Linked DNA regions of Stegostoma tigrinum. The protein of the gene in region 4 purifies or fractionates together with the protein of the main gene of each other region. This does not show direct contact. Links are inferred from orthologs where the notes say so. Each region holds a gene or a part of one and is shown on either strand. Other genes may lie near its edges. The genes, in order: copb2, E3 ubiquitin-protein ligase RNF123, NF-kappa-B inhibitor beta-like and nuclear factor NF-kappa-B p105 subunit-like.

What was found.
Region 1: the proteins of nuclear factor NF-kappa-B p105 subunit-like (region 4) and copb2 purify together in Homo sapiens (affinity purification with mass spectrometry; 5 studies listed by BioGRID and IntAct, with this or other methods). This does not show direct contact. The link is inferred for Stegostoma tigrinum from reciprocal best matches to the Homo sapiens genes NFKB1 and COPB2.
Region 2: the proteins of nuclear factor NF-kappa-B p105 subunit-like (region 4) and E3 ubiquitin-protein ligase RNF123 purify together in Homo sapiens (affinity purification with western blotting; 4 studies listed by BioGRID). This does not show direct contact. The link is inferred for Stegostoma tigrinum from reciprocal best matches to the Homo sapiens genes NFKB1 and RNF123.
Region 3: the proteins of nuclear factor NF-kappa-B p105 subunit-like (region 4) and NF-kappa-B inhibitor beta-like purify together in Homo sapiens (affinity purification with mass spectrometry; 7 studies listed by BioGRID and IntAct, counting the BioPlex papers as one, with this or other methods). This does not show direct contact. The link is inferred for Stegostoma tigrinum from reciprocal best matches to the Homo sapiens genes NFKB1 and NFKBIB.

Annotation. Positions count from the first base shown.
Region 1 is NC_081367.1:20,776,402-20,784,218, reverse strand, and holds the start of copb2 (coatomer subunit beta'), read right to left. Parts: upstream 3,048-7,817; 5' UTR 2,918-3,047; coding exon 2,915-2,917; intron 1-2,914. UniProt on the Homo sapiens protein: The coatomer is a cytosolic protein complex that binds to dilysine motifs and reversibly associates with Golgi non-clathrin-coated vesicles, which further mediate biosynthetic protein transport from the ER, via the Golgi up to the trans Golgi network.
Region 2 is NC_081364.1:65,894,475-65,901,916, reverse strand, and holds the start of E3 ubiquitin-protein ligase RNF123, read left to right. Parts: upstream 1-4,376; 5' UTR 4,377-4,492; intron 4,493-5,827; 5' UTR 5,828-5,859; coding exon 5,860-5,941; intron 5,942-7,442. UniProt on the Homo sapiens protein: Catalytic subunit of the KPC complex that acts as E3 ubiquitin-protein ligase. Promotes the ubiquitination and proteasome-mediated degradation of CDKN1B which is the cyclin-dependent kinase inhibitor at the G0-G1 transition of the cell cycle.
Region 3 is NC_081392.1:14,791,944-14,799,556, forward strand, and holds the start of NF-kappa-B inhibitor beta-like, read left to right. Parts: upstream 1-4,610; 5' UTR 4,611-4,831; coding exon 4,832-5,280; intron 5,281-7,613. UniProt on the Homo sapiens protein: Inhibits NF-kappa-B by complexing with and trapping it in the cytoplasm.
Region 4 is NC_081354.1:1,700,509-1,707,840, forward strand, and holds the start of nuclear factor NF-kappa-B p105 subunit-like, read right to left. Parts: upstream 3,003-7,332; 5' UTR 2,886-3,002; exon of another isoform or gene 2,771-2,885; intron 1-2,770.

The DNA.
Region 1 (7,817 bases), on a different chromosome or scaffold from region 4:
AGTCAAGCCCTTGTGAGACTCTGTTAAAGATGTATTAACCTATTAACTACATTAGAATAATTTGTGGTCATGAAAGGTCCATAAATTTGTAAACAACATTCCTATCTTTATACAGAATTGTCATGGCAGACTGTTACCAGACAAGTTCATAAAACTTAACATTACAACAGCCGATCACGTTCCCCGTGCACATTCATACACAATGAGCCACTCACACATGATAGCAAATGGACATTACCTTCTATTGAGCCATATGGAGCAAGTCATTACATTCAAGAGAGGGAAAAACAAAATAAACATTTCAGCAAAACAGTATTTCTACTAACAATGGTTTAAATCCACCATTAATCCATTCAATCCTACGGCATTTGAATTTCTAAGCAACTACTTCCAATTCCCTACATACACTCAAAGAAAAACGTGAGATATGGAATTTTATCATGCCATAGTCACTAAAATTAAAAACATCTTGCAAGTTTAACAATCAACTTGTATCATAACTTTAACACTCCAGTTCATTATTTGACAGTAGTCGGCGAAGGGCGCCAATTCAATGTCAAGGAGTTTTTGACATGAATCAATGCCAAGAAATTTGATATTCCTCATGTCTAATTAATAGAAATTGCAACTCCTAAGACTACATGTCAGATAAACAGTCTGACAGCACAATAGAGAAGTCTTGAATAATGGTGTCACAGGCAGCACGTGAATGAGAATGTGAATGACACATCTTTAGGACTCCAGAGGGAATGACACAGAAACACAGCAATCATTTCCCAAGAATGCTCTACAATTTGACAGGCAACAAAGGAAACAATAGCTAGAGATGGAGACCAGAGAGAACAGCAGCATTGGGGCAGACAACAGAATGGATGATGGTCAGCCAAGGGGTGGCATGGTGGCTCAATGGTGAGTACTGCTGCCTCACAGTGCCAGGTTCAATTCTTGCATCAGGAGAACGTGCATGGAGTTTGCACATTCTTCCTGTGTCTGTGTGGGTTTCCTCTGGGTGCTCCAGTCTTCTCCCCAGTCCAAAGATGTGCAGATTAGGTGGATTGGTCATGCTAAATTGTCCAAAGTGTCCAGGGATGCGTGGGCTAGCTGGATTAGACATGGTAAGTGCAGGGTTAAAGGGATTGGGGAGGGTTCTCAATGGCACGCTCTTTGGAGGGTCAGTGTGGACTTAATGCGCTGAATGGCCTGTTTCCATACTGTCACAATTCTACAAGTCTCAGTTTTATGAGAAAAGAAAAGCTGCTAATGGGGACCGTTAGTGCCTGAAAAAAGATTGGCTGTGGTGAAAGCTGCCCATGTGATGACACAGCCTGGTATGCAGGGGCAGGGAGTGGGGTTGGTGGTGTCGGACATGGACAATGTTCAGACTCTAAAAATGACTCCAAGCTTCAGGTTGCCTACCACTTCAATATGTCACGCTGTGTTCCCCAGTTGACATTTCAGAGTTCAGCCTGCTGTCTTGCACCAGCAAATCTCAGCAAAGGTAGAAGAACAGCATCTCATTTTCTGTTTGGAGACTCTGTAGCCTTTAGGTCTCAAAATAGAGTCCTGTCTTCAATGCACATACCAACCTTTTCCTAGCTAAAATCCATTTCAAAGAAGGGTCGCCAGACCCAAAACACTGACGCTACTTTCTCTCCTCAGATGCTGCAAGACACAGAGATTCTCCAGCTAATGCTGTTTTTGTATACCAGACAGATTATCAGATCAGCCATTTCATTTAAGGGCAGAGCAAACTTGACGGGCCCAATGGCCCACATCTGTTCCCACTGATCACATGGCAGTATGCATCAACCTAATTTAAATGCTCTCTTACAACTCATGCAGGGTCATCACATTGCAGGAATTCACTATTTGCAAAATTGTTTTTTAAGTACACAAATCTTAAGTACACAACTTTTGATGTGGAAGCAGAAATGAGTGGTGGTCAACAAAAACTTGATCTGTCTACTTCAATCTCACATCAAAAAGTGATTAATGACTTTTTATGTAAACAACAGTCATGTTCAAATCAGTCTATTCCTCCACAGCTTACAATTCTTGAATGCAGGTTAATCCAGCCTAAAAATGGTGAAACTCATTAGGTATAACAGCAACAGAAACAGGTTGTGTCCTAGACAATTCATCTTCTTAACACTGTTTATAGATACACTTCGACCTCATTTCTGCGTTACAACAGCCTCAAACCTTCAACTATGTACCTACTCAGGAATTCAGTTCTCACTAGCGGTGGATTCAATGGCTAGAAGTTATAACGACTTAAATGTCTAATAGGATACAAACACGCCTAAATTAAAACATAGTAAAATGTGAGGCTGGATGAACACAGCAGGCCAAGCAGCATCTCAGGAGCAGCTCCTGAGATGCTGCTTGGCCTGCTGTGTTCATCCAGCCTCACATTTTATTATCTTGGAATCTCCAGCATCTGCAGTTCCCATTATCTCTAAATTAAAACATAATTTACTTACTAACCCCTGACGGCCCTGTTCACAGCACGGGCCTCAAAACGGTGAGCAATAAGAGGAGTTCTGATTTCTCTCCTCAGATCCTAGCAGACTTGCTGATTGTTTCCAGTGTTTTTTTTAACTTCATATCCCAGCCTCCGCAGTATTTGGGTTTAACTACAGAACAAGAGGCCGGGCAGATGCAGTCCCTTCCAGCCTACACCTTCCTCTCGCTGCCTTAGAGCTTGGCCCTCGTATCAGCACCATATACATACAGATGGCCTTCACACACCGGGGACCCTCCGCGGCTGTACTTAGGGCCTGTGGGGCAGGGCACTTTGTGGTTGACATAACAGGGACGAGACTTCCAGCAGCCACAACCTCCTGCACCCACAGTCAGGCTCAGGCTCCCTACCCGCTCGCCAGCCACTGCTAGTCAACAACCGCGTACCCACCATCGCTGCAGCACCTCAGCCTGCGCCCACACCCAGGCCCGGCCGGACTGATGGCTCCTCTGACGTGGAGCTTCCTCCTCAGCCACGAAACACGGGATTTCCGCAACGTTCGCGAGAGACGCCGCTCCAATCAGACGCAGCGCCCCATCCCCTAGACGGTCCTCCGAACGGTGCGCCCCCTCCGCTTAGGAGGATCTCAGCACTCAATGCCCGCGTCGGCGCGGAAGACGCCAGCCCACAACACCGCCGTCCGCGAGGAGGCCCACAGGTCACAGCGCCCCCTGCGGTAGGAGGTCCTCAACACATAGCGCACACCGCCCCTCGGCCCATAGCGCCCCCTGTGGTAGGAGGGTCCCAGCACACCGCCCACTCCTGTCGCGGGCCTGCGAATACACAACGCCTCCTGCCGTTGGAGGACCTCAGCGCACACACACACACACACACACACACACCCTTCTCCGGTTGGGGGAACTGCGGACACAGCGCTCGTTTTGAGACCCGACGTTCATGTGTGTCGACATCCAATGTTAGCCAGCCTTTCCAGACCATTATGGCACATCTCTAATCCACTCACACATTGTTCTGCATTGCCATGCTGCACTTTGGAGCACACCAGCATCTAGTATTGCAGTACTGTGGGTGTGACACTTGGCGGGCAGGGTCAGGTGCCCGGGTTCACAGACTGGACCATTTCAGAGCTGCTTGCTTGTTCTCTTGGCACTTACCCTTTTTTGTGCATTCCTGGATTCTCACAGAACCCCTGCTTTACCCTTCTTTCACTGTATTTTCCGGACCGAGTGAACAAGATATATCTGTTCTGAGGAACGGTCACCGGACCCGAAACGTTATCTCTGTTTTCACCTCCACAGATGCTGCCAGACCTGCTGAGCTTTATCAGCCACTTTGTCTTTGTTGCTGTTGATGATGATGTCTGTTAAGAGATTTGTTCAAGAAAGATAGCTCCACTTGTGGAAAGATGATCACCAATGTGTTCCATATTCTCAAGCAGGTTCTAACAATAAAGTGTTACTATTGCAATACAATGACCCAATGAAAAGATACAACACGCAAAGGCTTCAATATGTGTCTTTTGCAAGATGATACAGCTATTGTTTTTCATTCTGAAAGCCTGTCATCTCTGCAAGCCAATTATTCCAATAAAGAACATAAGACATTAAGCCTGCTAATTGGCATTCTGTGGTTTCACTCATATTTAACTGGCAAAAAGTTCACTGTTGAAAGATCATAAGCCATTGTAAATGATCTGCTGAAAATTGCTAATAAGTGCACCACAGCCATTCAAGCATCTACTTGTCAAGGTGTAAGGATGTGACTTTGAAGTGAATTATGGGTCTGACATGCTGTGCAGATTATCCAACCCACATAAAGACTAAGCTATACCTCTTGACTTTCACATTGATGCTTTAGACTGTGAGATTGAAGTGGTCTCAAGATTGAACTCTTTCACTTTGACCAGGACCAGGGTGAAACTGCAACAGACATGTCAAAATTAACAAATATTGTAAAACACTGTTGTCGCGGGATTGGCTAACAGTGTTAAAGATATGCGCGGTAGGATTTGTTCATTTTGACAGTATAGAGATGGACTTGGTTTATCACAACAACTCATTTCAAATGCATAATGGTTCTAACTCTGAAAGCATTACATCAAGATACTTCCATGTTACACCAGGGGCATACAGCTACTGAACGTACCTTCCCAATTAATGTATATAAGCCAGTGATGAATCAGGATATTCAATGACTATGTGAGGGATGCCAAATAAATCAACCCCAGCAGCACAGGAATGTTTACATCCACACAATTTTTCATCCATTCCTTAGGCAAAAATATCACCAGAATTGGTCATAGTGCATGGGGAATATCACGTTCTTCAGACTAACTACTTTTCCAAATTTCCTATTATTTGGAAACCTTAGAAACACAACTAATGTGACAGCTGTTGACTCGTGGAGCAATACTTTCTGATGGCTGACATTTACAGGTCTTTGATTTTATTTAAGCATTACTTCCAGTTTATTCTGTATCTTGAAATGGATAGTGTCTGACAATGGACTGCAGTTACAAAAACAGAAATTGTTGAAAAATCTCAGCAAGTTTGGCAGCATCTGTAGAAAGAAATCAGAGTTAACGTTTCAAAGCTCTGAAGGAGGATTATTGAACCTGAAATGTTAACTTTGATTTCTGTCCATAGGTGCTGCCAGGCCTGGTGAGATTTGGTAGCACTTTCTGTTCTCATATTTTAGATTTCCAGCGTCCACAGTTCTTTATTTTGTCGACTATCGTTCCCTGACAAATCAAGGGATATGTATAAAGTGGATCATGACTCATATCACACTGTCACTCTATTATTCATATTCTAACAGTGTAACAGAACACAATCAAATCCATTATCAATAAGTGTCACACAACAAAGAGAGATTTGTGAATTGTGTTACTACATTTTCCTGAAACATCAGTGGGGAATGGTTTACCTTACCCAGAAGAACTTATGTTCAAAGATACATTGGAACAGCCTTGTCCAGCAACCAAACATCTAAGCATTTTGAGGCATAGACATTTTTATTTTCAAAAACAGAATAGAATGAAAGAGATACGTGATGAGTTATCAGGCATAGAAATACCAAATAAAAACTGAAAGAACTGTGGATGCTATAAGTCAAGATCAAAAGTAAAGTTTCTGAAGAAGGTCAGCAGGTCTGACAACATCTGTGAAGGGAAACACAGAGTTAACGTTCTGAGTTCCCAGTTCTGAGGAATGGTCACCGGGTCCAAACGTTAACTCTGTTTTTCCCTTCACCGATGTTGCCAGACCGACTGAGCTTCTCCAGCAACTTTGTTTTGTTGTGATAGAAATGTCAAAACTGAGCAAAGAATATGGGTTAGAAATACAGCAAACATGCCACCAGCCCAGATAATACCTGATATTTCCTGAGCATGGTGATAAATTATGAAGGAATAGCAACGAACTCAGACAAACATGCAACACCCTAGTCATGCTGGAGGAAACGGAGACAATGCACTCAGGGAAGTTACTGATTGTGTGGTGATGTTGAGTGACAACAACCAGCAGAATATTCAGGATGTGAATTATACACATTGTGTTCCTCAGTTGTATTTCAACCAAAAAAGTGCAAATGAACAGGGTTCATCATTTTGTCTGCATCAAGCAAGATGTCGGATATATTTAACAAAAAAGAATGTGGAAGCTTGTATTCCCCAGGAGCCCAGGCTTCTTAAAGTGCCAGCAGCGCAGGCAAAATCTTTCTTCTGAACTGACAGTAAATCATGTCTCAAAGGTATTTACACCACAGGCACAATTGTGAAACGGTGCCAATAAACACTGTGAGTTCCAACTTTTATCCTTAGTCTTGATAACCTCCAATTCCTTGTTAGGAAATAGTCTGAATTAATCTTTTTAATTGTATTATTCAACCAAGTCCAGTGAATGAATTCTTTTCTTTTCAAGCCTGAAGTTGGTAAAAGATCTTGGATTTTTTTGAAATGATGCACATTTTCAAATCAGTATATCCTCAACCATGTATAAAGTTATGAGGAAACAAGTCAGCCAGATCCCTTGAGTAAGGAAATAACGAGTTTGCTTTGTTAATTAAAAATAAACACTTAGGTTTAAAGTGTAAACATTACTAAAACCTGCAACATATACACACAAGCATCCAAGTAAATGAACCAAATTAAAGAGTGGATGATGTGGATTGGAAAAATGTAAAAGCCATAATTATAAAGAAACTGTTTCTTTCAAACTGTAGTCAAAGTTTTCCCCAGAGTGGATGCTATGGCACTCGAAGTTTCTTAGAGCATTAAATTCCCCATAATGGAGCCAATTCATGGGCACTGAAGGCCTTACAACCTCCCATTGTCACAGCTATCAGTGTAATGCTTTTTATGAGACTTTCCCTTGTTTCTGCTATTCCTTCAGACGAGATGTTAGTTGCTTGTTATCATTTTCAACTATGTTAATATAAAACAGCTCCTCAATAACATTATTTAGTTTTGGAGTAGATTTGTAGGTGTGGGTGTTGAGGTTGGTTGGTTCGCTGAGCTGATTTGTTGTTCCGCAGATGTTTCATTACCGTGCTGGGTAACATCCTCAGTGCAGCCTCTGATGAAGCGTCGGTGTGTTTTGCCGCCTGGTTTTTAAACTCTGGGGTCTGTTGCAATGGATCGCCTCACTTCTGGGTTTCCTCCATAGTGGAATGTATATGGGATGTAGTTCAATGTGTTCCATGGACTGCCTATCTCCGGACTCATAGCAGAAGCAGTGATGCAAAGACTGGAAAGGACTGCCATTCCACAAATCCAACCTAAACTCTGGATACATGACATAGACGGCACCTTGGTCATCATTAAACGGACCAAATTAGAAGAGACACACAAACTCACAAACAACACCCTCACCAGAATAAAATTCACCAGAGAGGAGGGGAAGAACAAACAACTCCCCTTCCTGGACTTCATAGTAAAGAGGAAGACAAATGGGGAACTGCAAACGAAAGTACACCATAAGGTCACACACACAGAAGAGGTATTGAACTTCAATAGTAACCATCCCAGCACACACAAATGAAGCTGCGTGTGAACACTATTTAAAAGGGCAACAACACACTTCAGCAACATGGAACTACACTAAGAGGAGGAGGAATACCTCTTCCAAGTGTTCAAAGATAACGGATATCCAAACGACTGGGTCAGGAGATGCCTACAGGAACAGCATCAGAAAGATCCTACATGGCCTGACACACCCATCACACTACCCTACATCAGGAACATGTCAGAACACACCACAAGATTTCTCTGACCACTGGGCATCAGAGTGGCACACAAGCCCACATCGGCCCTACGACAAGTGCTCACCCAAAC
Region 2 (7,442 bases), on a different chromosome or scaffold from region 4:
GGAGATGTTCTTTAATGAGACAGAGGATCCTTAGTGTTGGGTTATATATTTCTAGCAAGACTCACAGGGGAAGGTAATGGTCTGGTGGCATTATCACTGGACTGTTAATTCAGAGACCCAGATATCATTTTCTGGGCACCTAGGTTCATTTCTTGCCACAGCAGATGGTGGAATTTGAATTCAATAAAATATCTAGAATTAAGAATCTAATGGTGACCCTGAACCCATTGTTGATTGTCGGAAAAATTCATCTGGTTCATTAATGTCCTTTATGGAAGGAAACTGCCATCCTTACCTGGTCTTGCCTACGTGTGACTCCAGACCCACAGCAATGTCGTTGTCTTTAAACTGCCCTCTGGGAAATTAGGGATGGGCAATAAATGCTGCCTGATCAGTGACACCCTCATCCCGTGAATGAATAAACGAAAAAGAAAGGATCATGTAGGGGTAGCATAAGAGCATTTAAAAGTTTCACAAGAAAGGAAATAAAAGAATGAGCAGATGAACATTCAGCAACTAGTTTATTTTCCCTTCTGGTTGCTGTATGATGTGGCTTTTAGTGAGCAAGATGGATACATTTTTAAAAAGCATGAACCAGGCACAATATACCTCCTGCAGACCAATGAAAGTTTGCACAGAAGGAAAATCAAGAAGCAGCATTCTGATCAGTACAAGAATCATATGAGCAAATCCTGTGAAAAGGGAGATTTGAACTGCTTTCCTAGATTTTTCCATTGCTCATAACACTGACATTTTTTTTCCTGAACCTTTGTGCATATATGTAAGGCAAATTTATTAGGAGTTAGAATTTTAAGTTGTGCTTATTATGTACAGAAATCTGGTCTGTGCTTTCTGACAAACCAGATCTAAAAGATAGGTAAATTCGAGAACCTTTATATACTTTCTAAAATCTTTAACTTTGTGACAAATCTGGGGATAGCAAGGCTTGTTTATTGGGTGTGCAAACCCATTGAAGCACGATGATATATAAAATGCAGGATACTTACCCACATAAATATATACCAGCCTGATATACATTAAATAAATGAACATGACCAATTTTTACCTGAATACATAAAATGCATGATACAGAAATTTGATATACACCTAAACATACACGCACACGCAATATATATACTGAAATATTTGAAACACATGATATTACCCATATACGTAGCTAAACCTGATATATACTTAAATGTATACACCTGCCCAATGTATACACAAATATATACACTAACTTGATGTAAACCTAAATATATACTCCCTAACATATACTGAAAGATATAAGCCAGCCCAACACATACACAATTATACACGCTCACCCAATATACACCAAAATATATAAGCCAGCCCGATATATTTAAATAAACGTACATGCACAATATATACTAAAATATAAACACCTGCCTGATATATACCCAAACGTATATGAAACACGATATCCATTAGCCCGATATGCACACACTCAATTTATACAGCCAATACACACCTCTCAGGTTACACCTATCCAATATATATTAGTTTGCTATACACATGCTGATTTGTATCATCCTGTTAATGCATAATGCCTGAAATGCATGTATCCAATATATACCAGCTCAGGGTGACGGGGAGGAAGGAAAATGTGTGGGAAAATGGATGGGGGATCAGGGAAGAGAGAGACAAACAAAAGCAGAGGAGGAGAATAGAGAAGGGAAATTTGATGACAGTGTGTCAAAGAGGTGAGGGACGGGCTAATGTTGGGATCAGAAGGAAGCGGGGCATGGGAGTGGAGAGTGAAAGTGTTGTGTTGGTGGGACAGGGAAGGGATATTGGTGGAGGGAAATGTGAGGGATATTTGTGGAGAGAGGTTTTGGAGAGGGAGTGGGAGAGTAAGAATATTTGGAGAGAGTAAGGATATTTGGAGTTTAGGATGGTATTTTGGGAGGGGAATATGAAAGGATATATGAGGAGGGATGGATAATAGAGTTTGGGGAAGTAGAGGTGTCATTTGTGGGGAAGTAGTTGGGTATTTGTGGAGGGGGTATTTTCAGAGCGAAGTGGGAAGGGGAAAGGGAGGGGAGGGTCTTTGTAGGGCGGACATTGATACTTGTGGAGTGAGGCTACTTGGGGATGGGAAAGGGGTAAATGGGGACATGGCTGGAGACTAGGTGTCATTAGGAGGGAATATTTGTGGATGTGGACAGGGTATTTGGGCAGGAGGTATACATACAGTATTTATACATAGTGAGAGGATTTTTGGGGTAGGGCAAATTGGAAGAGCATACTTGAAGAAGGTTTAGGGGCATTTCAGTAGGGAGTATTTGGGAAAGGGCATATTTATGGATGCACAGGGGTCATTGGTGGAGAGGTAACTGAGGTGCGGTTATTTGTGAGTGGAAGTGGGCATTTGAGGAGGGGAAGTAAAGGTAACACGAGGAGAGGGAGAGGAGGAGATTGAGGAGGGGTACTTGAAGAGAAGTCAGGGATGGAAGAGGTATGGTGGAGAGGTAGTTGGCTATTGTGAAGAGGGAGGAGAAGGTAAAGGGTATTTGTAGCATGAGGTTGGGAGGAATAGCTATTTGGGAATTGGATGAGGGAAAAGCATTTGGAGAGGGGGCTGGGAACTTTGGGGGTAGGGAGGGATAAGTGGCGAGGGATGGGGAATAGTATTTGGGGATGGGGTAGGATATTTGCATATATGGGGAGGGGTGTTTGGCGTAGGGTGGTGGTATACAGAGATTAGGATTTGGGGAGGGGAGATGTTTTTGATGGGCTGGAGGGATTCCTATGGATGGAATTACTTAGGAATTGGAGCAGCATTTGAGGATGGGGATGCATATTTGGAAAGCAGTAGCTAAAAAGAGAGCTGGGAATGGAGAGAAATATTTGGGGACGGTTTAATTGAGGAGGGGATTTGGGGAGTGTGTATTTGTGGATGGGCAGGGCATATTTGTGAATTAGGAGGAAATTTGAGAATGGTGTATTTGTGGATGGGGTGGGGCATTTGGGTAAGGGAAATATATGGCTGGGGATGATGAATTGGTGAGAGGGTGTTTGTGAATGAGGAATTGGTATTTGGGGAGGGTATATTTAGTAAAAGTGGTATTTAGGAATGGTGTTATTGGATGGGGTATTTGAGGCTGGGGATGGGAATGGGTATTTGGGAATAGAATGGGTATTTGGCAGGGAGCATAGGGAAGGATACTTGGGGAGGGATGTGAAGTGGTATTTCAGGAGGGGCAATGATAAGGAATGGAAGGGGTATCTGGGGAGGGATGGATATTTGGTGATCTAGTGAGGGTATTTGTGGATTTGGCTAGGGAGGCACTTGAGAGTCATAGAGCTGTACAGCACAGAAACAGACCCTTTGGTCCAACTTGTCCGTGCTGACCAGATGTCATAAAGTAATCTATTCCCATTTGCCAGTATACCTCTAAACCCTTTCTATTCATATACCCATCCAGGTGCCTTTTAAATGTTGTAATTACAGCAGCCTCCACCACCACCTCCTCTGGAGCACATTCTACACACAAACCACCTTCTGCATAGGTCCCTCTGTCTCCCTAAGCCTAGCCCTCTAGTTTTGTACTCCACTACCCTGGGGAAACGACCTAATGTATTTACCAATTTAATCTATTTAATATTCCAACTGCTACAGTCAATGTATTTGGGTAGGGAAGAGAAGGTGTCTTTGGTGGGGTGGTGAGGGACATTTGTGGAGTGGGGGTATTTGGGAATGGAGAAGAGAACTCGGAAAGGGAGGTCTGGGGTTGGAGAGAGAATTTTAGGGAGGTGGTATTTGGGAAGGATATTTAGGCATGGGGAGAGGTATTTCGGGATCGGACATTTATGGATGGGGATGGCCTATTTATGGATGGCGAGTCTGGTATTTGTGGATGGAGAGTGGTATTTGGGGAGGGAGAGGAATATTTGAAATAGGAGTGTTTGTGAAAGGGAATTATAGAGGGGATGAGTATTTGTGGTTCGGTATTTGGGCAGGGGAGGCTATTGTGGATGGGAGCGGTATTTGAGCAGGGAGAGGGCTATTTGAACAGGGGATGGGAATTTAGACAGGGGGAGGTGTATTGTGGATGGAAAGGGCACTTGATTGGGGGTGTATTTAAGCAGGAGAAGGGTATTTGAGCAGGGGAGGGGTATTTAAGCAGGTGGGTGGGGTATTTGATCAGGGCGAGGTATTTAAACGGGGGATATATGATCAGGGTAGGGGTATTTAAGCGGGGCAAGGGTTTTGAGCAAGCGGAGGGGTATTTGATCGGGGCGGGGTATTTAAGCTGGGGGTAAATGATCGGGGAGGCGTATTTAAGCTGGAGATGGGGCATTGGGGGCGGGGTCGGGACCGACTCCGCCCTATGGGCGCAGCGCATGCGTGCGGCGGGCTTTAGACCGGACTGAAGATGGCGGCGACGGGAGCGGGTCCGTGAGGAGAAGTCGGGACAGAGTGGGTCTTCTCTGAGAAACCGGGGTCTGCGCAAGCTGGGTAGCACAGGTCAGCGGAACCGAGGCCCATCCGAAACCGGAACACTGTCGACAGGGAAACTGAGAGATTAAAAGTGAATGAGAGGTCGGGGGGGGCCGAGATCCTCGTCACTGACCCCGCCCACCCGTCACTGACCCCTCCCCACCACCCCACCCTCGTCACTGACCCGCCCCCACCCTCGTCACTGACCCGCCCCCACCCTCGTCACTGACAACACCCCGACCTCTGTCACTTACTGCCCCCACCCCACCGTCACTAACCACTAACTCACCCTCCTACCCCACCCGCTCCACACCCCCGTCACTTACTCTTCCCTGCTTTCACTGACCCCTCCCCCATCACTGACCTGGCCCCCAAAACTGACCCCTCTCCCAACACATGACTTGCTTCCATTCTTGACCCCATCACTGACTTCCCTCCATTCAGTGACTCCCCCCTCCCCCAATTACTGACTTGCCCCTAATCACTGCCCCACCTCACCATCGTTCCTGGAAGCTCTGCAATCAGTTGATCTCCTCGAATTGCTGACCCTCTCCTTTCTGTGACTCCTCCACGAGTCTGACACTGCCCCCCACCAAAGCACAATGACCCTCTTCTCCCCATCACTTAGGCTCCTGCATCACTCTGAGCCCACACCCAACACTCCCCTCTCACCTAGGCTCCTGGATCACTCACATCACCTCCCCCAACTAATCACATGGACCTCACTACTCAGTGGCCCTCCAGATGCATGCTGACTTTTCCAGTCCCCACATTTACCACCCTTCCAACCATGCTAACCCCCTAATTTCCACACTGACCCCTGTGACTCACACTTGATCTCCAGATCTCACCGACACCCTCCAGACTTGGCTGACATCTTTCAATATCATTCTTCTCTACTGTCCCTGTGTCCCTTGAATTTTTAAAAATGTAGGCATCTTCAATGTACTTAACAATCAATCCTCCACAGCTCTTTCGGATAGAGAATTCCAGCTGATGTTGGAGTGTCTTTCATATTGAACTGAGGCAATCAGCGATCTATTTCCTACGATTCGTCTCATGCTAATTCCCCAGTAGGCTAATTCTCAAAGTTTGCTCTTAAGTTTACTTTGATTTCACTTGCTGCCTTATGTTTTCAGTTCTTATCTGGCCAGTTATCCTTTGGGTAGCTCACTGCCTTTCAGTGCAAGTAGTCAAGCAAATGTTGGTCTTTGAAATAACTTTCTTATATCTGCTACTAACATTACCATCTTCCTTGGGCACATGCTAAGCTCACGCTGAATAATAGATAACGGCAGCCATCTCAGAACATGGAGTGAAAATACTGAAGCTGTTTCCTCCACTAAATTTGTTTTTACATAGTTTTACAAATTGGAGAGACACTAATTTGGAAAATGACGTCTAAAGGCACCAGCACATCCTACTCCAGGAGAAGTTATCGGTTGACCTCTGATACAGAAAAACCAAAGGTCACAGGTATGTTTGGTATCAAGGGTTGGGACAGCCTGAGTGATCCTAATTGTGATGTGTGTGTGAACATCCTATATCTACTTAGTTTGTGAGAGAAGTATACTTTGTTTGGGAAGTACTTAAAAATAACGTGAAAGATTGGCAAATTGAACAACTGAATGTATCTGGATGGAATTGTGACCTGTGAAACTGCTTGGATGGGAAATGTGTTTTTGTCTCCTGTTTCACTAATCGATGACTTGGTGGCATTCCCCACAATTGTAAGCCCATTGAAATCCCATGTTGCTGGCAACTATGTTTGGATTTCAGCACTCCGAAATCTAATTGGTGGCAGCCCCGACTCAACAGTAACGCTCTCACCCTACGTGCAAAGGTTGTGCAAGGCTAGGAAATGCAAGTATACTCTGATGTTATTTTTAACGGCTTCAGCTGATGCAGTGTGAATAGTTGTGATGCCATCAGGAGTGGCTCTCCCATGTTAGGTGTGCGGTCTGTGAGCGATGGTCTGACTTAGATGACCAGAGGTTGAAACCTGGGACTTCACTAGGTGGGATCCATCACCAGGTTGCAGTTGGAAATCTTTGAAATTAACCAAGTGGTTTGCCGACCAGAGGTAGGTCTGTAACCACTTTACAGGGTATGATGGTATTCCAGTCAAGACTGCTTGATTTCAGACAAGTGTGAAGATTTTACTTGTGCGACTGTGTCAAGTAGAGTGCTTTATTATTTGGTGATGTTCTCCTTCACAAAGGATATTTTTGTTATAGACATTGTGGATTTCAATGTGTGCCAGCATAGGAAGTAACAGAAGCTCTCTCGATGCCAGAGAAGTAATCTTCATCATTGCTTGGAGCTGGGCATCTACCTTGTTGGTCCAGCAGTTCCTGAACCTGTTGAGCAGCAGTATTCTAAGATAATAAAATGTGAGGCTGGATGAACACAGCAGGCCAAGCAGCATCTCAGGAGCACAAAAGCCGACGTTTCGGGCCTAGACCCTTCATCAGAGAGGGGGATGGGGAGAGGGAGCTGGAATAAATAGGGAGAGAGGGGGAGGCGGACCGAAGATGGAGAGTAAAGAAGATAGATGGAGAGAGTATAGGTGGGGAGGTAGGGAGGGGATAGGTCAGTCCAGGGAAGACGGACAGGTCAAGGAGGTGGGATGAGGTTAGTAGGTAGCTGGGGGTGCGGCTTGGTGTGGGAGGAAGGGATGGGTGAGAGGAAGAACCGGTTAGGGAGGCAGAGACAGATTGGACTGGTTTTGGGATGCAGTGGGTGGGGGGGAAGAGCTGGGCTGGTTGTGTGGTGCAGTGGGGGGAGGGGATGAACTGGGCTGGTTTCGGGATGCAGTAGGGGAAGGGGAGATTTTGAAACTGGTGAAGTCCACATTGATACCATATGGCTGCAGGGTTCCCAGGCGGAATATGAGTTGCTGTTCCTGCAACCTTTTGGTGGCATCATTGTGGCAGTGCAGGAGGCCCATGATGGACATGTCATCTAGAGAATGGGA
Region 3 (7,613 bases), on a different chromosome or scaffold from region 4:
GGGAAAACTTGTAGTGTCACAATAATGGTAAACATGAACTATCAATGCTCAACTTCCACCACGTTCGTAATAGCTGAGACCCTTATAACGAAAAAGATTTTTAAAACAGAAATACTGACTTAAAATGGCTGTTGTTGTCACCTGACTACAGATTGTGGCAAGTCCAGGGAACCCATTCAGAATACATAAAATTGGCAAAATTGAAATTCTGCTTAATCTAAAATAATTGAAATCAGACAACCGAGTTAGAGTCAAGAAGTTTGGATCTACTGTTTAATTCACACTTGAATATTACTTTTCACCATTTGAACATAAAAGTGTTCCCTGCAACTATCCAACTTAAATAAACAATGAAAGCAGACTCACAAATACACAGATAGACTCTATTTCAGGGGCTTTTGAGCAGCAAAGGAGAAGGAAATTGGATTCCGAATTGCAGAACATGGAAGGTTTGTTCTCTCTTTTGCCTCCTGCTCCCACCTCTCTCCCCAATCCTTAACATCTCTTGGGAATTTTGGAAAAACAACCATTCACTAACAATTCCAGGATTCTACAAATGGCATTATGACTGAGGAAGAAAGACAACAGTTAAACAGTCATACACTCATGTTTAACTCTTACAACCAGAGGTCCCTAAGAAATTTAAACTGCATCTGAATATCTTCCTATAGACAGTAGATACCCTCTCCATCACTCTTAAATCTATTATCTTTGTTTGAGTTTGTGTTTAATATTGCATTTTTTTTTCCTCTGGGTTTGTAGATAATAGAATGGCTCTTTATTTCACTCAAGATAATCTTGATAATTCTTCCTCCCATTTTCTAGTGAATTACATTTTAATCGGAGTGTCATGGCTGTGTGCTAAATGAAAAATGAAAGATATTTCTAGTGGCTGAATGAGATGGGCTGACAAAATGGACAGCTGTTTCCTCATCTGTTCTTAACAACAGGAACACAGGAATCAGGAGTAGGTCATTTGGCCCACTCACGCCTGCTCCAGCGTTCAGCATTGGCTGATCTGATTGTGGGCTCAACTCTGCAGTTCTATCTCCTCCCACCCTCCAATAACTTCTAACTGCCTTGTTAGTCAAAAACCTATCTACCTTTGTCTTAAATTCAATGAACCTGTATCCAACCTCTCTGCGAGAAGTGAATTCCACAGACTAATGAAACTCAGAAAATAATCCTGTTAAACTCCATCTTAAGTGCAAGATACTTACTTTAAAACTGTATCTGTTAATTTTAGTCACTCCCATTAGGACAAATATCCTTTCAGCATCCACCCAATCAAGTTCCTTCAGGATCTCACAAAGTTCAATACAATTCTCATTTCTCCAACCTTCGAGTTTGAAAATTTGAAATAATCCCAGACTCTACTCTTGAATTTGTACATGTAAATGTGGGAGTCAGCGACAGTGAGCATGGACACATTACTCAACTAGAGTAGCACTCAGTAGTGAAGCACAGTAGTGGTACTGGCCAAGCACAGTAACCCAGGTTAATGTTCTGGGGGACGCAGACTTAATCCTAAATTGGCTGATGGTGAAATTTCAACGAAAACTTTAAAAGCCAGCTGAGTGACTATCATTGTTGATTGCTGCAAAAACCCAAAAATAAAACAAAGAACTATGGATGCTGAAAATAGTCATACAACATGGAAAATGGAGGCAATGGCCTAATGGTATTATTGCCGGACTGTTAATCCAGAGGCCCAGATAACTTTCTGGGGATAACAAAGTGTGAAGCTGGATGAACACAGCAGGCCAAGCAGCATCGCAGAAGCACAACCTGGGATTGGATCCGCTACGGCAGATGGTGGAATTTAGATTCAATGAATAGTTGGAATTAAAAGTCTAATGATGACCATGAATCCATTCTCTTTGGTGGAAAACCCATCTGGTTCACTAATGTTCCTTAGGGAAGGAAACTGCCACCCTTACCTGAGATAACGAGGTGCAGAGCTGTGTGAACACAGCAGGCTAAGAAGCATCATAGGATCAGGAAGGCTGATGTTTTGGGCCTAGACCCTTCATCAGAAATGGTGGAGGGGAAGGAGGTTCTGAAATAAATAGGGAGAGAGGGGGAAGTGGATAGAAGATTGATAGAGAAGAAGTTGCAGTGGGAGAGAGATCCCCTGAGGTTTGTCCGGAGGGAGGAGGATAACTTCTTCAGGGTAGGCATCCTTTGAAGAGGCTTCACAGTGGGGTTAAAATTGTATCAGAGGTAACAGGAACTGCAGATGCTGGAGAATCTGAGATAACAAGGTGTGGTTAAAATTGTATCGAGATAATAGGAACTGCCAATGTTTCTCCAGCATCTGGTTATTATCTCTGCTATCCTTACCTGGTTTGGCCTGCATGTGATCCAGACCCACAGCAATGTGGTTGACTCTTAACAGCCCTCTAGGCAATTAGGAATGGACAATAAATGCTGCCTAGTCAGCAACTCCCTCATCCCGCAAATCAATAAAGGTTAAAAAAAAGACCTTCGGTCCAATTAGTCCATGCCACCATAATGCCAACAAACCAACTATACATCCAACAAGATCCCTCCAAACATTTCTTATTCATGTACTTATTCCTTTTAAACATTGTAACTGTACCCACATCCAACACTTCCTCTGGAGGTTAATTCCACACACAAAATACTCACTGGTTTAAAAAGATTGGCTCTCATGTCTTTTTAAGATCTTTTTCCTCTCACCTTAAAAGACCCTAGTCTTGAAATCCCCATCCTTAAGAAAAAAGACACCTGCCATCCACTTTAGCTCATGATATTATAAACCTCTATACGGTCATCCTTCACGTCCAGTAAAGTCTCAGCCTGTGGTATCACAAATAAACTGCTGAAGGAGACTCACTGGACTGTAAACATTAAGTCCGCTTTCTCTCCACAGATGTGGAGGAATGGAATTGTGGGAGATATAACAGTTTGGATCAGAAATTGGCTTGCTGAAAGAAGACAGAGGGTGGTAGTTGATGGGAAATGTTCATCCTGGAGACCAGTTACTAGTGGTGTACCGCAAGGGTCAGTGTTGGGTCCACTGCTGTTTGTCATTTTTATAAATGACCTGGATGAGGGCATAGAAGGATGGGTTAGTAAATTTGCAGACAACACTAAGGTCGGTGGAGTTGTGGATAGTGACGAAGGATGCTGTAGGTTGCAGAGAGACATAGATAAGCTGCAGAGCTGGGCTGAGAGGTGGCAAATGGAGTTTAATGCAGACAAGTGTGAGGTGATGCACTTTGGTAGGAGTAACCGGAAGGCAAAGTACAGGGCTAATGGTAAGATTCTTAGCAGTGTAGATGAGCAGAGAGATCTCAGTGTCCATGTACACAGATCCTTGAAAGTTGCCACCCAGGTTGACAGGGCTGTTAAGAAGGCATACAGTGTTTTAGCTTTTATTAATAGAGGGATCGAGTTCCAGAACCAAGAGGTTATGCTGCAGCTGTACAAAACTCTGGTGCAGCTGCACTTGGAGTATTGCGTACAGTTCTGGTCGCCGCATTATAAGAAGGATGTGGAAGCTTTGGAAAGGGTGCAGAGGAGATTTACTAGGATGTTGCTTGGTATGGAGGGAAGGTCTTACGAGGAAAGGCTGAGTAACTTGAGGCTGTTTTCATTAGAGAGAAGAAGGTTGAGAGGTGACTTAATTGAAACATATAAAATAATCAGAGGGTTAGATAGGGAGAGCCTTTTTTCTAGGATGGTGACGGTGAGCACGAGGGGGCATAGCTTTAAATTGAGGGGTGAAAGATATAGGACAGATGTCAGAGGTAGTTTCTTTACTCAGAGAGTAGTAAGGGAATGGAACGGTTTGGCTGCAACAGTAGTAGATTTGCCAACTTTAGGTACATTTAAGTCGTCATTGGATAAGCATATGGACGTACATGGAATAGTGTAGGTTAGATGGGCTTGAGATCGGTATGACAGGTTGGCACAACATTGAGGGCCGAAGGGCCTGTACTGTGCTGTAATGTTCTATGTTCTATGCTACCAGACCTGCAGAGTTTCTCCAGCAATTTCTGTCTGTTGCTGGATAAAATTCCATCTGTCTTTTAGGGAAGGAAATCTCTTGTCCTTAACCGATCTGGCCTGTTTTCATGATTCCATACCCACAGCAATGGGGGCTGTCTCTTAACCTTCTCTACAACGGCTTTATAAAGCCAGTCCATTCCAGGGGCAATTAGGGATGGGCAATGACCGCTGCCATCAGCGAATAACAGAAGCAAAACACTGTCCCTCTCTCCACAGACACTGCCAGATCCGCTGAGTTTCTCCAACACTTTCTTTCCAGATCCTCAGCCTGAAACTTGCTCAAGTTGTTGTTGTCCTTGATAACGAACAACAGTCCTGATGAAGAGTCCAGATCTGAAACGTTGACTTTCCCACCCCTCTAATACTACCTGACTTGCTGGGCTCCCCCCGCCACCCACTCCGTTGCCTCTGACTGCCAGCACTGCAGTCTTTAAAGACTTGCTATCGCCAGGACTACAACTACCACAGGCCATTGCGGCGGGGGCAGCGTCTGCGCATGGGCAACGTCGTCTCCCTCACAGGGACCTGCCAGGAAAGCGCAATTCGATTGGTCCCTGGCCTAGCGGGGGAAATTCCCACCAGACAAAAGGGTAAACAAGGCGTCGGCCATTTTTGGTGAGGCGTCCGTTTCATCTCCGTGTCTTTCTTTCACTTTCCCGTTAAAGCTGCTGCTCCGCGGCGAGAGGGATGGCGGTTTTACCTCATAGATTTCGCTGATGAGTCGACTGGCGTCCTTTAGAATCGTGTTCAAGAGCGATTTTCATTATCACGTCGGGAGTCCAGAGAAAAAAACATGGAGGTTGTCCCGCAGCTGTCAAATGGCAACTCATCCAAACAGACGATCAAGCTGGGCACTGGTAAAGTGGCCGCGCCGTGGGGTGGCCAGGCCAAGTTGGACAGCCTGGGGCTACCCGCTGAGGTAGAGGGCGATGACTACTACGACAGTGGCATTGGCTCCCTCAGTGAGCTGCAGGTCAGCCAGTTCAGTGAGTTGGGTGGCGTTGACCAGAGTGTTGATGGTGGGGAGGGCAAGGATGGCATGTCCATGGGCACTGAGCCAGACATTTGCTTATCCACCCAGCGGTGGGCAGAGAGTGGCGTTAGCCAGATCACCCAGGGCATCGAGGATGTGAAACTGAGTGGCACCGGTCAGATCACCCAGGGAATGGAGCTGGGAAGTTCCCAAGAAGCAGTGAATGAGTTGAAGGAATTGCGCCACTACCGAACCGAAGACTTGGACTCGTGAGTATCGCTTGCATGAGGGGGTAATAAAGTGTCAACTGTGGGTGGGCATGGGGGTATGGGTTTACTTGGTTCCATCATTCCCAAGTACCAGATGCAGAAATACACCTTCAGCCCATGTGCTGGTATGCCCAGTACCAGCAACAATCCATTGTCAACTTTCAGATGAGGTCATTAAACCTGACTGGTGAATACAAAAAAAAAATTCTGGCACTATTTCAAAGACGTGTCTCTTAATCAGAAGATGGTGCGTTTAAGCCTCACTCCAAAGACTTGAGCGCAAGAATCAAGTCTGACATTCCCATTGCAGTACTGAGAGGGCATTGCTGTGTCAAAGGTGTATCATTTTTTGGATGAGATGCTAACTCAAGGATTTTATGGAGCTATTTGGAGGAAGAACATGAAGTGTCCTCTGTAGTGACCTAGTCAACTTTACTTCCTCTGCCAATGTTGCCACCAAGGGAAAAGATCATCTGGCCATTGTTTATTTTGTGGGATCTTGCTGTGTGTAAAACACCTGCTGCATTGACCTCTATTATACAGTGACTACCCTTTGAAAGTTTCCACGCAGTTCTTTGAAATCTGAGGTGATGAAAGAAGTTGAAGTTGCTTAATTCCCCTCTCAATATATTCCTGGAGGCAGTCCTATCTCTAACACCTAACCCAAATAGAATTTTTAGTTTCTGATGTACAATATCTTTATGTACAATTTAGTATTCAAAGGAAGATTTTTTTTTTAAAAGACAGAATTATTATTAAACAGATTGCAGCAGTTCAAGGAGGCAGCTCCAACACCATGTTCTCAATGGTAACTAGATATGGGCAATAAATGCTGGCCAGCCAGCAATGCCCACATTGCTGTGACTGAATAAAAAGCATTTTAAAAATTATTATGTGATGTGGTGACTGTCTTTTCTTTCATCTGTGACCTGGGTTTGAATTAATCGCTGTTGGTGAAAGTGATCCTATGTGAAATGTGGCAGTCTCAGTTTAACATTCTCCTAGGTCCACAGCACCAGACTTCCCTTTGATGAAAGTCTCATTTGTTGAGGCTGCAAATTGACTCTCTCAGAAATGTCACTCTCATGCAGTTGGAAATGGTTTTGGGACTCAGACATGTTTCTGGGCAGAGTAGAGGAGCTTGCATTTGTATTTTCTGGGAATAGTTAAAACTCATTTTGACTGCACAAATTTACTGGAATTTAAACATCCCTTGTCTTGAGGAGTGCCACATTCACATTAAATCAGTTTTAAAACAGAATACTGCAGAGATTCACATAATCTGATATACAGAAAACCCTGCTCTGAAATCACTCTTCCATTAGCAGCCATGACCCTAATCTCTGGAATTTCCTCTCTAAACCTCTCCATTACTCTACTTCTGTTTCCTTTTTTTTTAAAAGCATCTCTTTAAAACATAGATCTTTGCCTGAGCTTTTTTTCCAAATATTGCCTTGTTTAGCTCGATGAGGAATTTGCCTTTTGATTATCAAGGCAGCTGTTTTTGGTCAAGTTTTGCAAGGTGATAAGGTAACAAAATAAAGAACAGACTTGTATTTATGTAGCAACTTCTCATGTCCTCAAGCATCCCATCAAAATGCTCGGCTCGTAGATTATATTTAAAGTGTTATATTGACAAAATGGCAGGACGTTTCTGCAAAAAGCACTGATTGGTGATCTCCAAGTGATGTGCAAATACCACCTTAGACATAATTAGCCTCCCCGCTGAACTTTGAAATTTAAGATTACATATATACTTATGTTTCTTATATGTATAGCACCTTTCATGGCCATGGGAAATCATAAAGTGTTTTATAATCAATTAAGTGCGTTGTGACATGTATTATCTGTCATATTGTAGGAAAGATTGCACTAATTCGCACACTGCAAGCTCCCACAAACAACAGAGATGATGACTTCATTATATGCTATAGTGACATTTGTGGAAGGCAACATATTAGGACATTGAAATGAACTCAATAAAAACCAAAAGAACTGAAGATGCTGCAAATCAGGAATGTAGATAGAATTTGCTGGAAAAGCTCAGCAGGTCTGGCAGCATCTGTGAAGAAAAAAAATCAGAATTAATGTTCCAGGTCCAGTGACTTCCTCAGAACTGTTCTGAGATAGGATCATTGGACCTGAAATGTTAACTCTGACTTTTTCTTTGCAGATGCTGCCAGACCTGCTGAGCTTTTTCAGCAAATTCTGTTTTTGTCACTGAAATAAACTCGCCTGTGCTTCTTCAAAGTAGTTACCTGGATCTTGTACGTGCTCACTGTTGGGGAAGCAGTTAGGGACTTGGTATAATATTTTATCATAAAGATGTAATC
Region 4 (7,332 bases):
AAAAATATTCAATGATGCAGAGTTACACTGATTCCCCTCCCTGACAAGAATGTCTGGTATGGGGAAATGTGAAACTCACAGCACAAACAGATCCATCATGATCTTGTTGAATGCTGAAACAGGTTTAAGGGCCGAATGGCCTATTCTTGCTCCCATTTTACAAGCTGGTATTTACCTACTTTGGGTGAATCATTGGCCTCATCCAATTTCCCATTTACATGCTGCTGCTCAGTGACATCATGTAAAAGTACAGTGTTCATTCTCACTATGTTCTCTGACAACCCCAGCTTGACCTCATCACCAGCTCTCAATTTTTCCACTCTCTCTAAACTGTCAGACTACTGAGTTAACATCCAGAACTGGATGAGCATAAATTCCCTTCAATTAAATATTGGGAAGTCATTGGCTGTAGTTCCTAGTCCAAACAATGTTTCCCAATCACCAACACCTCTCTCACCCTGACAACATTGTGGGATTAAGTCGGTCACAGCCGTGGTTTTTCATAAAATCCTGATTCTGACCTCTTACTTTGCACCATTACTAAGACCACTTACTACCAGCCCAGTAACATCCCTCAACTTCACCCTGTCTCAGCTCATCATTCATGAATCCCTCATGTTTAAACAATCACCTCTAGACTTTCTTAGCTGCTCCAATACACTCCTCATTGGTCCCCACATTCTATCCTCTGTGACCTTGGGGCCGTCCAAAACTCTGCTGTTCATGTGATAACTCTCAGTGGCTCCTGTTCCTTATCACCCCTTGGCTCCCTGACAAACTGGCCCCAGATTAAGCAACCTCTTTATTTTAAAATATCATTCTTGTTTTCAAATACCTAACAGCCTCATCCCCTCCCAATCTCTGTAACCTCCTCCAACCCCAGACCCCCTGCATTTCTCTAATTCTAGCCTCTTGAACATTCCCAGTTTTAGACGCTCTTGCGTTGGTGGCCATGCCTTCAAATGTCTGGACCATATACTCTGGAATGCCCTCCTTAAACTCTCAGCACTGTCTCATTTTCCACCTTCCACCAGATATTTCTCAAAACCCACCTCCTTGACCAAGTTTTCTGTAACCTAACCTAATACCTCCCAATGTGGTTAGCTGTCAAATTCTGCTTTGCAATACTCCTGAGGAGAACTTGGGATATTTTATTACAAAAGGTACTATTTATTCTTTGTTTCATAATCTTAATCTCCTATCTAATAAATATCTATTGATCACTGTTTTGAAATTTGTGACAGACTCTGATCTTGATCAGCTCTTTGTGGGGTACTTTTTCCCTTTGAGTGACAAAGTACTGCCTGACATCGATCTTACCCAGTGACCACCAACTCTGAGAGACAGGGCTTATTCTCTCTCACACACCAGCCTGATGCTACACAACCTAAAAACTCTCTATATATTGCAATAAACAATTGTTTTACTTTGAAGTACATGTGCTTATTTCTCAACCATTTTAATTAGCCTCAGTATCATTCATAGCATATCCTTGAACAAGCATCAACTAATCCACAAAAAATGCTAATTTCTAAAAATTACACCATTAGAACCAATTTATTTGGAAATATTACCTATTCCACAATTTGGCATTAACAAGAATCTCCACAGTTAACCCAACACTCACTTTCACTTCTTCATCTTCACATGGGTTGTGATGAATGAAACAGTGAAATATCACCATGCTTTAAGACACTAAAGAACAGCATCATAACAAGAATATACCTTTCAGAATCAGCCCCCTCACACTGCCCTGATCAAATAATTAACTCAGCTCAACATTAAGAGACCTACAGATTTCACCTTTCAACTATAACTGACCTGCCCTTCGGCTCTCTGAACCTTTTGTCGTTAGTTACAAAAGCTGGAATACAATGAACCATTTTGGACACCTTGCCTGTATAAAGATATAGAGTATTGGAGACAATCCAGGGAAGGTTCATTTGATTGGTCCCGGATATGGGGTGTGGGAAGACTGTCTGATGGGGAAGAGGTTGAGTAGGTTAGGCCTGTACTCACTAGCATTTAGTAGAATGTGAGGCAATCTTACAATCACACCGTCAGAGAGACCTATAGAACTAAACAAGGCATTTTGGTCCATGGAGTGGTTACTGGCCAAATAACCCTACTTTAATCCCATTTTCTGCACAAGGCCCAGAACCTCCTCTATCTTGGCGTCACAAGCACACATCAAAATATTTGTCAAATGTTATGAGGGTTTCTGCCTTTACCACACTTTCAGGCAATGCCAGACAAGATTTTTAATCACTAAGAGAACAAAGGGTTATGGGGAAAAGGCAGGAAGTGGAACTGAGGATTAGCAGGTCAGCCTGGTCTCACTGAAGGACAGATTAGACTCGATGGACAGAGTGGCCGACTTCTGGTCCTGCTTTTTATGGTTTTACGAATGAAGATCAACATAACTCATCATCAGCACATTAAACAGCCTGAGAGTCCGCTTGAAAGACAAGGAGAGACAGTCACACACTGAGAAAAGGGGATTTAAAAGGCGACAGCGCAGTGAGAAGGGGGGGTGAGACATTAAGGGAGGGAATTGAAGTAGGAGGAGGAATTGAGAGTGAGGGATTGACAGAGGATAAGGAAAGTGAGGGAGAGCCTCAGGCGGAAACTCGGGCCTTCCGCTGGTGTCGGCGGCCGCTCGGCACTGAAGCAGATGTCGAGGCGGACTGGGACTGAGGGAGAGGGGTAGGCTAACGGAGCAGTCACTCTGACCGAGTGAGGAGCGAACCATTCACTGGGTTTAACTCACCGTCAAAGCGAATCCTGCACCAGCTACAAAGTAGCAACTTCCAGCAACAAGCTATCAGACACAAGTTACAATGTATTCCCAACTCACAATCCACCGGCTCCGCGCCGCCACTCACCACTCCATACACCCGGCAAACTCTCTCCGCTTCCCGGGGCCCAGTGCTCCCCGGCTGGAAATTCCCCGCCCGCCTAGGGGCAACGGGGGGGAACTGCAGCCCCCTCACACCCCCTGGGGGCAACGGGGGGAACTGCAGCCCCCTCACACCCCCTGGGGGCAACGGGGGAAACTGCAGTCCTCTCACAATGCAACTGGGGGCAACGGGGGCGGCGAACTACAGCCCCCTCACACCCCCTGGGGGCAATGGGGGTCGAACTACAGCCCCCTCATACCCCCTGGGGGCAAGGGAGGAACTGCAGCCCCCTCACACCCCCTGGGGGCAACGGGGGGAAATGCAGTACCCTCACAGTACAACTGGGGGGGCGGCGAACTACAGCCCCCTCATACCCGCTGGGGCCAACGGGGGGGCGAACTACAGCCCTCTCACACCCCCTGGGGGCAACGGGGGGAACTGCAGCCCCCTCACACCCTCTGGGAGCAACGGGGGGAAATACAGCCCCTTCAGACCTCCTGCGGGCAACCGGGGGAAATGCAGCCCCCTCACAGCCCTCATGGGGGCAGCAGGGGATACTGCAGCTCCATCACTTCCACTGGAGGCAGCGAATGGAGCTACAGCCCCTTCAGATAACAAAGTGTGAAGCTGGATGAACACAGCAGGCCAAGCAGAATCTCAGGAGCATACAAGCCGACATTTCGGGCCTAGACCCCAGAGATGATGAAGGGTCTAGGCCCGAAACGTCAGCTTTTGTGCTCCTGAGATGCTGCGTGGCCTGCTGTGTTCATCCAGCTCCACACTTTTGTTATCTTGGATTCTCCAGCATCTGCAGTTCCCATTATCATTGATCCCCTTCACTCCCACTGGCGGCAATCGGGAAGTACTGCAGCCCCCTCACTCCCCCTAATCGCAACAGCGAGGAACTGCAGCCCCCTCACTACCCGGGGGCAGAAGGGAGGGGACCTGCAGACCCCACAAGCCCCCTGGGGGAAACAAGGAGGTCTTTGATCTTTTCTTACCCTGGGACAACCTGCGCGTGGGATCTCTATCTAGGGGGCGTTTGCAGCCCTGTCACTCCCCCTGGGGAGACGGCGGTACACCCCCGCCACACCCCAAACCCCTCACTCCGCCGGAAAACATGGGCGAGTGCAAATCCTTCACGCTTCCTCACAGTTACAGGGACTTCTTTCACTCTTTAATACCTCTAGTACAACCTGGGAATCTGCCCTTTCACCTTCACTTCCGTTTTGGGAACTTTAGTCCCCTGTATCTTCACCTTTGGAGCTTCAACTGTGACTCCAACACCCCCACTCCGATCCAGGAACAAGCTGGGAAACTGAACCCACTAGGCAGCACCCATCCAATAGGGAGAAGCTGGAGGCAGGGGACTAATGGCAGTGGGAGGTGTCTGCAATTCTCCTCGTTGCCCCCGGGGAAGAAAGGATGCTGCAGTTTCCCAGGTTGTTGCCGGGGGAGTACAGGGGTTGCAGATTCCCAAGGGGCCGAATGGATTGCTGGCTGGTTTCTAAACAACAAGCAAAGAGTTGGAGTAAAGGATAGTTTTCCCAGTGGCGGTTAGTGGCAAGTGCTGTACGAGGGCTAGTATTGGGCTCATTCTTTCCACAATTTACACAAACAATTTGGACAAACGAAAGTTTGATTCCAGTTTGGGAATTCCAATTTGCTGCATATATTCCTATTAATAAGAGATTTCTATTTGTGGGGAGCTCAAGACTAGGAACAATCTGTATAAGATAATGCGGCGCTCCCTCAGCAGTGACCCTCCGACTGTGCAGCGCTCCCTCAGCACTGACCTTCCGACAGTCCCCACTCCCTCAGCACTGACCCTCCAACAGTGCGGCACTTCCTCAGCACTGACCCTGTGACAGTGCAGGGCTCCCTCAGCAGTGACCCTCCGACAGTGCAGTGCTCCCTCAGCGCTGACCCTCCGACAGTGCGACACTCCCTCAGCACTGACCCTCCGACAGTGCAGTGCTCCCTCAGCACTGACCCTCCAACAGTGCGGCACTTCCTCAGCCCTGACCCTCCGACAGTGCGGGGCTCCCTCAGCAGTGACCCTCCGACAGTGCAGTGCTCCCTCAGCGCTGACCCTCCGACAGTGCGACGCTCCCTCAGCACTGACCCTCCGACAGTGCAGTGCTCCCTCAGCACTGACCCTCCAACAGTGCGGCACTTCCTCAGCACTGACCCTCTGACAGTGCGGGGCTCCCTCAGCAGTGACCCTCCGACAGTGCAGTGCTCCCTCAGCGCTGACCCTCCGACAGTGCGACGCTCCCTCAGCACTGACCCTCGACAGTGCGGCACTCCTTCAGCACTGACCCTCACACAGTGCAGCGCTCCCTCAGCACTGACCCTCCAACAGTGCGGCACTTCCTCAGCACTGACCCTCTGACAGTGCGGGGCTCCCTCAGAACTGAACCTCAGACAGTGCAGTGCTCCCTCAGCACTGACCCTCCAACAGTGCGGTGCTCCCTCAGCACTGACCCTCGACAGTGCGGCACTCCTTCAGCACTGACCCTCACACAGTGCAGCGCTCCCTCAGCACTGACCCTCCGACAGTGCCCGCTCCCTCAGCACTGACCCTCTGACAATGCAGTGCTCCCTCAGCACTGACCCTCCGATAGTGCCACACTGCCTCAGCATTGACCCTCTGACAGTGCGGTGCTCCCTCAGCACTGACCCTCCGACAGTGCGGCACCCCCTCAGCACTGACCCTCCGACAGTGCAGTGCTCCCTCAGCACTGACCCTCCAACAGTGCCCACTCCCTCAGCACTGACCCTCCGACAGTGCCACACTGCCTCAGCATTGACTCTCTGACAGTGCGGTACTCCCTCAGTACTGACCCTCCGACGGTGCGGCGCTCCCTCAGGACTGACCCTCAGATAGTGCGGCCCTCCCTCAGCTCTGACCCCCTGAGACAGTGGCTGAGGAAATAGTGGAGGCTTTGATTGTGATCTTTCAAAAGTCACTGGAGTCTGGGAAAGTCCCAGATGATTGGAAAATTGCTGTTGTAACCACCTTGTTTAAGAAGGGATCAAGACAAAAGATGGAAATTGATAGGCCAATTAGCCTAACCTCGGTAGTTGGTAATATTCTAGAATCCATTGTTAAGGATGAGATTTCTAAATTCTTGGAAGTGCAGGGTCGGGTTAGAACAAGTCAGCATGGATTTAGTAAGGGGAGGTCGTGCCTGACAAACCTGTTAGAATTCTTTGAAGAGGTAACAAGTAGGTGAGACCAGAGAAACCCAGTGGATGTTATCTATCCAGACTTCCAAAAGGCCTTTGATAAGGTGCCTCATGGGAGGCTGCTGAGTAAGGTGAGGGCCCATGGTGTTCGAGGTGAGCTACTGGCTTGAATTGAGTATTCGCTGTCTGACAGAAGGCAGAGAATTGGGATAAAAGACTCTTTTTCGGAATGGCAACCGGTGACAAGTGGTGACCCACAGGGTTCAGTGTTGGGGCCGCAGCTGTTCACTTTATATATTAATGATCTGGATGAAGGGACTGGGGACATTCTGGTGAAGTTTGCTGATGATACAAAGATAGGTGGACAAGCAGGTAGTACTGAGGAGGTGGGGAGGCTGCAGAAAGATTTAGACCATTTAGGAGAGTGGTCCAGGAAATGTCTGATGAAATTCAACATGAGCAAATGAGAGGTTTTACACTTTGGAAAAAAGAATACAGACATGGACTATTTTCTAAACGGTGAGAAAATTCATAAAGCAGAAGTAGAGAGGGATCTGGAAGTGTTGGTCCAGGATTCTCTAAAAGTTAACTTGCAGGTAGAGTCTGTGATTAAGAAAGCGAATGTAATGTTATTGTTTATCTCAAGAGGGTTGGAACATAAAAGCAGTGATGTGTTTCTGAGACTTTATAAAGCTCTAGTTAGGCCCCTTTTAGAATACTGTGTTCAATTTTGGGCCCCACACCTCAGGAAGGGCATACTGGCGCTGGAGCGTGTCCAGCGGAGATTCACACGGATGATCCCTGGAATGGTAGGTTTAACGTACGATGAATGGCTAAGGATCCTGGGATTGTATTCATCAGAGTTTAGAAGGTTGAGGGGAGATCTAATAGAAATTTACAAGATAATGTATGGCTTAGAAAGGGTGGATGCTGTGCAGTTGTTTTCACTAGGCGGGGAGACTAGGACCCGTGGGCACAGCCTTAGAATTAGAGGCGGTAAATTTAAAACAGAAATGAGGAGATATTTCTTCAGCCAGAGAGTGGTGGGCCTGTGGAATTCATGGCCACGGAGTACAGTGGAGGCCGGGACATTAAATGTCTTCAAGGCAGAGATTGAAAAATTCTTGATCTCACAAGGAATCAAGGGCTACAGGGAGAGAACAGGGAAGTGTAATTGAAATGCCCATCAGCCATAATTAAATGGCGGAGTGGACTGAATGGCCTTACTTCCACTCCTATG